Linked DNA regions of Tribolium castaneum. The protein of the gene in region 1 interacts with the protein of each later gene in a pairwise test. Links are inferred from orthologs where the notes say so. Each region holds a gene or a part of one and is shown in the gene's direction. Other genes may lie near its edges.

Region 1 (3,820 bases):
TAGTTTTTTCCTTCATATGTTTTTATTAAAAACTTAAGTATTATTTAATTTCCAAAACTTTTTATTCGATTGACGAATATCTTCAGAATTGTTTTAATAATATTTTGTCTATGTAATACTTATGTAAATCCAAATTAATTAAATTGGAGGTCTGTAAAATACTTTGTTGGTGTTATTAACACAAATAAAATATATTCTGTTCTATTCTATTCTTTTATTCCACCTCGTGGTTTAAAAATCCATTCGTGAAATAAAGCGTCCGATTTACAGTCCAACTCGTTGGATAAATAACTACTATTACTTTATTTTATTTTCTTCTTTTCTTGATTTTTTCCTTAAAATTTTGAATTTCTTGTACTTAGCAGAAAAAAAGAAGAGTATACACTATCAAAAACAGTAAACAAAAATGTGGATTTTTTGACAAGTGACCCATAACAAAAATATAAATTTTGAAGGTTACTTTGTTCAGTCTAAAGATTCAAATTTACACGTAAAAAGTTAGGACTTGTTTGGTTTTATTATAGTTTTATAATAAAAAAAATTCGAATTTGACAAAATCGAAGTCTTGTGATGGGGGCTATTCAGGTACATTTTTCCACTTTTATGACAGTGTTGAGTGGAGTGCTCTATGAAATTTGGGTGAAAGCGGGCGGATGGACAGGTGTTCCACATAGCCAGCACCAGGTCCGTTTCTACCTGTAGCTCTTTTGTTCACCAACCAGCAACGAACATTGAATTTACAACTGGTCAGGTATTTCAACGACTTCTTTATGAACTCCGTAATAAAATCCTGAAATACAAGCGTAGCACTTGACCGTTGCTCATCATTTAGGAAGATTTACGTCGCTCGAGAATTTATTGTTCGTTTTATTCTATTTTATCAGTTCAAAAACACTGCATGCACAATTATTTGGACGCAAAAAGCGCTCGCATACATTCATTTTATTGTAGTATTTTTAGCATTTCCGAGGTGAGGATGTTGAACTTGGTAAATATCCAAGTCGGCATTGGACAGGGAGGTTCAAGGCCGCTAGAAATTTCTTTGTTCTCCTAATTTCAATTGTCAGGATTTGGTTTCCGGTCAGTGTGACCAACATTAGATGCAAGCACGTGCTTGAAAGCTACTTTTAATTTGGCCACTGTTCCAGAACCTGCCGCGAAGCAGAGGTCCGGAAAAGTGGCACTGCCTGCAGTGCCGTAATTAAAATGTCCCTTCGTTATCGGACGCGAGTTTAATGTAAAAGCAAAGTCGCATTAAGCTTTTTTACTAATTTGCTAATTATAAGGAGCTCGCTGGGTGGCCCCGGCGTAAATAAACCAAATTAACGCACAAGTGTGTACCGAGGCTGTTAATGCTCCTTTTATTGAGTCTATTTTAAATTTTTAACTGGGTTCGTATTTGTTGCAGGGCGGTGACGGATCCCCGCGACGGCAGGAGGGTCGCCCTGAAGAAGTTACCGAATGTGTTCGCATCGTTAGTTTCATCGAAAAGAGTGTTTAGAGAACTGAAAATGCTCTGCTTTTTCAAACACGAAAACGTAAGTGATCGCTCCATAGTTCGTCCAGATCAACACGTGTCAAGTCGGTTATCTGGAGGGTGCTCTCCTAATTAAAAGTTCACTCAACTCGCTTAATGTTTAACGAAAATTCAATCTTTTTCAGGTTCTTTCCGCCTTAGATATCCTCCAACCGCCTCACTTAGACTTCTTCCAGGAAATGTATCCTTTTTGTTAACGCACGGCGATATTACCAGTTAACCCTCGTCGGAACTGTTAACCTTTGGGGTCGAAATCATCTGAATGCTGCGTTTTTAATTTACAACTTCCGTTAGCGTTTAATTGGCTATTAAATGAGTGAATTCAGTGGTTCATTCACTAGCACACTCAAGATACATAATTTAGATTAAATGCATTATTACATGTGAGGGACAGTGGCGGCGACAAATCCACCCAAGGACACAATTTTTGCATTCAGACACCTGTTTGAGAAACATGTGCAGACTTGGGTCCCACCGTCCATTAGCCACATCCGTTCGGGACCGAAATAGACGTAAACTTTGAAATCCTCAAGGATTAGGAAAAAAGAGCGCTTGTGCGTTATTAGTTAACGTCAATCTGTCGCAGGCAGCGATAATGCCACAATTTATAATTAACGTTTCGAATTTATTTTCAACTTTACCGCTTCCGTTCCGCGAATAAATTTAAATGTGTGTTTGAAACAAGCAAACGAAGTTCAAATGACCTATTTTGTTTCGTTATCTGCCAGCTGTGTGGGGTGGCGTAACCGAGGGTGGGGTACGACCGTAGAAGGGTGTGACGTCACTGAACACGTGTGGAACATCGAGTTCGACTTGTTGTTTTTCTCTCGTGTCGGATAACTAACTGAATTTTTTTGGGCTTGGCAGTTATTGCGAATTATTTCACTGTTTGATTTTCGTGGGATGAGGAAGTCTTTGAGGGTAGGATAGCTATTGTAGAGCCCTTTTTGTGCCACTCCGCCCTAAAGTATTGTTAAAACCGGCTCGGAGTCTACCCTAGAAGCGGGTTTGCACGAGGGCGGCGGCATTATCTCCTGGGCTTGCTTGTGTACTGAGATAAAAATTCCAATTATCAATTTCTATGAAATTCTAAACGCACAAAGGCTGGTTCAAGTAATTTCACGATATAATAATAATGTAAAAAATGGCTTCAAATATGTACAAGGTGATTCAGTTAAAGACGACGAAAGGCTGCTTTTTAGTGTCACTGTCAAATGTAATTAACTGTTACAAAGTCCTTCAGTTTTCAATATTTGAACAGAACAAACTACGGTGCAATCTCAGCTAAATCACCCATTACATCAGATTTTTTAAACTAATCATTTATTTCGTTTTGTTTTTTTTTGATAAGTTCTTTACTACGATTATTACTGCCGTCTGTAGTAACTTATTAGTTGTAAATAAAAAAATGAGTACAGAGTGACTTTATAATTATAGACAAACTTGCCTATAATACCAGGTGAGGCAACCTTATCGCGCACCCAAGAAAATCGCGATTTCTAAGTAAATAAAAAAAATATTACAAGCCTAAGTATACTTTCGAAAAGGTAATTTTTGGCAATTTTTTACTTACAGATAAAGATAATAATTAAAAAAAATAAAAAAGAAATTATTAATAAATAAAAATTAAAAAAAAATCAGCCAAAATCACACAGAAACTGAACTTCTTCTTGTTCTTGCTTTATTTTATTTTCGTTTATTTTTTGTGTTTAGGTGTTATACTAAGTGTGTTCATGCTAATAATACAAAAAAATATATAAAAAACAATTGCCGTTTATAAAATATGTCACGCACAACAAGATAAAGCCCTTTATGTTTAATTTTCAATATTTTATTTGCTTTTAATTTTTTTTTTGTTATTATCCTTCTAAAAGTTTCTACTTTCTAAAACAGGAAACAAATCGTCGGTTTTCATTAAAAAAATTAAGAATGACGTTACAACTCAAAAACGAACGATGTGAACATTATTTAAATGTAACATTTAAAAAAATAAAATCGACCTGTTCGAGCTTTTTTTTTTGGAAAATGACTTAGTAACAAAGCTGTGTATGAAATTTGTGCGTTATTTTTGGTTCAATCTGTAATTTTTCGGCACGCAAATTTAAAAAAAAATACTACGCTTCCTTATTTATACACATAAAGAGAAAAATAAAGTATTTAACAGCAAACGCTGATTTTGTGCGAATCAACCTTATATTCAGTATTTTTTTCAGCAACAACTATATCAAATAAAGAGTGACATGAAAGACTTCTAAATATTTTCGAAAAGTTTACGAGCTGTTT
Region 2 (4,351 bases), on another chromosome or scaffold:
TTTTTATTCCAGTTGTCTTCCATTTTTCCGTTTCTCGATAACTCTAATAGTTTCGCCATAATTGGCGGTTGAAAATTGAAAAAAAGTGAAAATGGAAACCTTTTTTTGCGTTTTTCTCAGAAACTGTAAGACTTAAAGCAACAAACAAAAAACCATCTGATAGCGCTTAATTTTGTCTTTTTTTTCGACCAAACCCGGAGCCGCTCCGGGCAACGGTTTCGGCTACAGAAACGATCAAAGTTTTTCACTAAAAAAATTCATTAAAAAAAAACTAAAAGTCGTAGAGCATTGCGGTTTGTTCCATTGAATTCTACGGCTCATTTTACATATTATATCAATTTTTCACAAGAATAAAAAATTTAAAATTTTTTGCCTAAATTTAGGGTATCCATTTGTCATAGTGAAAAATTTTTTTCATTAAAAAAATTCATAAAAAAAAAACTAAAAGTCGTAGAGCAGTGCGGTTTGTTCCATTGAATTCTACGGCTCATTTTACATATTATATCAATTTTTTACAAGAATTAAAAATTTAAAATTTTTTGCCTAAATTTAGGCTAGCCATTTGTCATAGTGAAAAATTTTTTTCAATAAAAAAATTCATAACTCGAAAACTAAAAGTCGTAGAGCAGTGCGGTTTGTCCCATTGGATTCAGCGGCTTTTTTTCTTTATTAAACTAATTTTTCACGCAATTTAAAATTTTCAATTTTTTTGCTCAAATTTCCTGAGTAATACAAGACTCACCTTCAAAGAGGTGAAAAAAATTTTTTTTTTTTAACTAACTCCAGAAAATTTTTATGGACTTCTACATGTCTTAACAACCCACAAAAGCTGTTAAAAGTCCACAAAAAGTCCATATGTTCAATTTTTTGATGTTTGAGTTTTTCAATTTTCGTCGCAGTTTTTGTCGGTTTTGGGTACCCGGAACATTTCTCGAGCAATAGCTCCGGAACTATTAGAGATAACCCCATGAAGTGTATTATCGTTGGAAAGCTCTTTAAATTATCTATTTTTTTCAAAAAAGATTATTGTTCTTCGACTAATAGTTTTCGAGGAAATTGCTGATAAATGCAAAAATTGGTAAAATTTAAAAAAATTCATAACTAAAAAACTATTGGGAATTTGGTAATTTTTTTGATGCCAATCGATTCCCCGGATCATTTTGCATGGGTATGGATTAAAACAGTTCCACTTTTTGGAATGCAGAAATTAAATGCTGTTAAGTTTTAATTTGTAATAGAAACACATTAGAATGGTCAGGAGATGTTTTACAAATGTGATATGCAGGTCAGCGTAACAGCTTATTGATGTTTTTCTAATGATTTATTTTGATAATTTTCCTGGTGTGAACTTGGCTGTAGAAAGCTAGCTCCATGCGCGGAGCGATTGTCTGGTCGACTGTAATTTTCATTGTGTCAGCACCATTTCTGTTGCTATCTTCACCAACATTGACGCTGTCAATTGGATATAAAGTCAACTGTGGTATTGTTGGTTGCCTGGCTTGTAATAATTCTTTGACTGGAATTCATTCAAATCTTGGGAATTTTATCAGCCGTGACGATTGTGTGATAAATGACGATCCGTTATATCATTACTTGTGTCATAACGTGATTTTTTGTTTGATTTACCGGTTGATAAGACTTGACGTTGTCGATTCACGGCGGCGCCGTCAAAAACGTGATCAGCACGTCACAGTCACAGATTTTCGACGTGAAAGTCTTTTAAATGACCTAGACGAGACAAAACCAGAGTAAGTCGCCCTCTACTCTCAGGAGAACACGAAAATCAATTGATATTATCACGTTTTTAATTTATTATAACAGAAGATGTTGCGCACGTTTGTTGTACGAAGTGAGTTAGCGAAAGGCGCTCTCAGAAAAGTTGTCCGGTCGAATATTGTCAGAACTCTGACTGTAGAATGCACAAAAAGGCGGAATAACCACAGGTAAGGAGATACCTTGATTGCGACAAAATTTTTACATAATCAGATTAATCTATTTTTATTAAACGAGTTTACATAATCATAACCTCACTTCGTCGGCCCCATCACATGTAACGTTGTGCAAATCGCAGATCGCTTCTCCTGAGAGAAAACAGGGCGCTGCAATGGCACGGCCCTTCGGTGAACCCCCTCCGGCGTTACGCAACCGAATACCCCCCTCACACCAAAGTCCTCCTCCCGGCCCTGTCCCCGACCATGGAGCTGGGGACCATCGTCAGCTGGGACAAGAAGGAGGGCGACCGCTTGAACGAAGGCGACCTCTTGGCCGAAATCGAGACTGACAAAGCCACCATGGGCTTCGAGACCCCCGAGGAGGGCTACCTTGCGAAAATCCTCGTCCCGGCGGGCACCAAAGACGTCCCCATCGGCAAACTAGTCTGTATTATTGTGGAAAATGAGGCCGACGTGGCCGCGTTCAAAGACTTCAAGGTCAGTCGATTTTCCAAATATTTGACCACTTTGTTTACCAATGATAACAGGACGATGGCGCCGCCGCCGCGCCCCCCAAGCCAGCGGCGACCCCGGCGCCGGAGGCCCCCGCCGCCGCGCCGACGCCGCCCCCGGTGCCCGCCTCCCCCGTGCCACCGCCCGCGGCAAGCGACCGTGTCTACGTCAGTCCAATGGCCAAGCGATTAGCCGAGCAACGCAACATCCGGTTGCAGGGCAAGGGGACGGGGCTGTTTGGGTCCGTCACCTCGGCCGACCTCGAGGGGATGGCGGCCGGGGCGCCGGCGGCGGCGCCGCCGCCCCCAGGTTCAGATAATGTTCCCAGTGGGGCCCCCTATGTTGATATCCCCGTGTCGGGGATGCGCAGCACCATCGCCAAGCGGTTGGTGCAGTCCAAGCAAAACGTTCCGCACTATTATCTCACCATTGAGTGCAATGTTGATAAGTTGTTGAAGTTGAGGAGTCGGTTTAATAAGAAGTTTGAAAAGGAGGGGGTGAAGTTGAGTGTGAATGATTTTATTATTAAGGCGGTGGCGCTGGCTTGTAAGAAGGTGCCGGAGGCGAACTCGGCCTGGATGGACTCTGTTATAAGACAGTGAGTTTTTCGTTTTGTTGGTGGAAAAATTGGGTAAGTGTTTGTAGATACTCTTCAGTGGACGTGAGTGTGGCTGTGTCCACTGACCGTGGCCTGATCACCCCCATAGTCTTTGGAGCAGACGGGAAGGGTGTCCTTGATATCAATAAAATAGTTAAGTCGTTGGCGGCGAAAGCGCGCGACGGGAAGCTCCAGCCGCAGGAGTACCAAGGGGGCACTATAAGTGTCTCAAATTTGGGAATGTTTGGAGTTGATCAATTCTGTGCCATTATAAACCCGCCACAAAGCTGTATTTTAGCAGTTGGTACCACTGCCAAGCGATTAGTGCCCGACGAGTCGGAGAAAGGGTGAGAAGCTGGGGATTGAGACGTTTCAAGTGTTTATATTTGTTTTCAGATTTAAGGAATCCCAGTTCATATCGGTGACGTTGAGCAGCGATCACAGAGTCGTTGACGGGGCTGTCGGGGCGCAGTGGTTGAAGTGGTTGCGCCAGTTCTTAGAAGACCCAGAGTCGATGATTCTTTAAATTATTGAAATATTTGTTAAATTTGTCATTTTCATCATACATTTTCGTGCCGTTTTTCCGAGGTGGACGAGGTGTTGCCTGCTGGTGTAGAGAAGAAATCTTCCATCTGTATATTTTTGCATTTACGATAAGTTTTATAGCGGATCTTGCACCACAGGTCTAGTTCGAGGGGCTGGTAATCATCCACATTGTGTTATCACGAACACTTTCATTGCTGATGTTTATATAAAAAGTTGTAATTTTTGTTGAGCAAGTGTATTTATGTATTTAAGTATAAATAAACTAATTGTACATAGGATTGTTTTATTAATATTCCTGAAATAAATCCCAACAAAAAATACACAAACAATAAGCCATGCTGGTTGGTGTCGAACTCCAAGAAAAGACTTTTTTAATTAAAAAAGCCGCTAAAAATTGCTAATTTTGAAAAAGGACTTCGGACCAGGATCACATGAACGCAAAGAGGTAAAAAATGTAAAGACCTCCTTGCGTTCCTATGATCCTAATACACATTCGATTTTAAATTTTTGCAAAATTTTTAAACGTACTTCGGACCAGGATCACAGAAATGGGAAGAGGTCAAAAATATAAAGACCTCCTCGCGTTCCTGTGATCCTAATACACATTTTTATTTTAAATTTTTGCAAAATTTTTAAACGGACTTCGGACCAGGATCACAGGAACGCAAAGAGGTAAAAAATGTAAAGACCTCCTTGCGTTCATATGATCCTAATTCATATTTTTATTTTAAATTTTTGCAAAATTTTAAAATGGACTTCGGAC

The links.
Region 2: the proteins of nmo (region 1) and muc interact in a two-hybrid assay, tested with the Caenorhabditis elegans proteins (2 studies listed by BioGRID, with this or other methods). The link is inferred for Tribolium castaneum from reciprocal best matches to the Caenorhabditis elegans genes lit-1 and dlat-1.

Annotation. Positions count from the first base shown.
Region 1 is NC_087395.1:23,213,922-23,217,741, forward strand, and holds part of nmo (serine/threonine-protein kinase NLK), read left to right. Parts: intron 1-1,408; coding exon 1,409-1,538; intron 1,539-1,662; coding exon 1,663-1,718; intron 1,719-3,820. UniProt on the Caenorhabditis elegans protein: Has a role in the Wnt signaling pathway controlling the asymmetry of cell divisions during embryogenesis. Operates in the AB and EMS cell lineages influencing cell specification.
Region 2 is NC_087399.1:3,915,491-3,919,841, forward strand, and holds muc (dihydrolipoyllysine-residue acetyltransferase component of pyruvate dehydrogenase complex, mitochondrial), read left to right. Parts: upstream 1-1,530; 5' UTR 1,531-1,748; intron 1,749-1,821; 5' UTR 1,822-1,824; coding exon 1,825-1,943; intron 1,944-2,071; coding exon 2,072-2,429; intron 2,430-2,479; coding exon 2,480-3,042; intron 3,043-3,089; coding exon 3,090-3,389; intron 3,390-3,438; coding exon 3,439-3,568; 3' UTR 3,569-3,864; downstream 3,865-4,351. UniProt on the Caenorhabditis elegans protein: The pyruvate dehydrogenase complex catalyzes the overall conversion of pyruvate to acetyl-CoA and CO(2).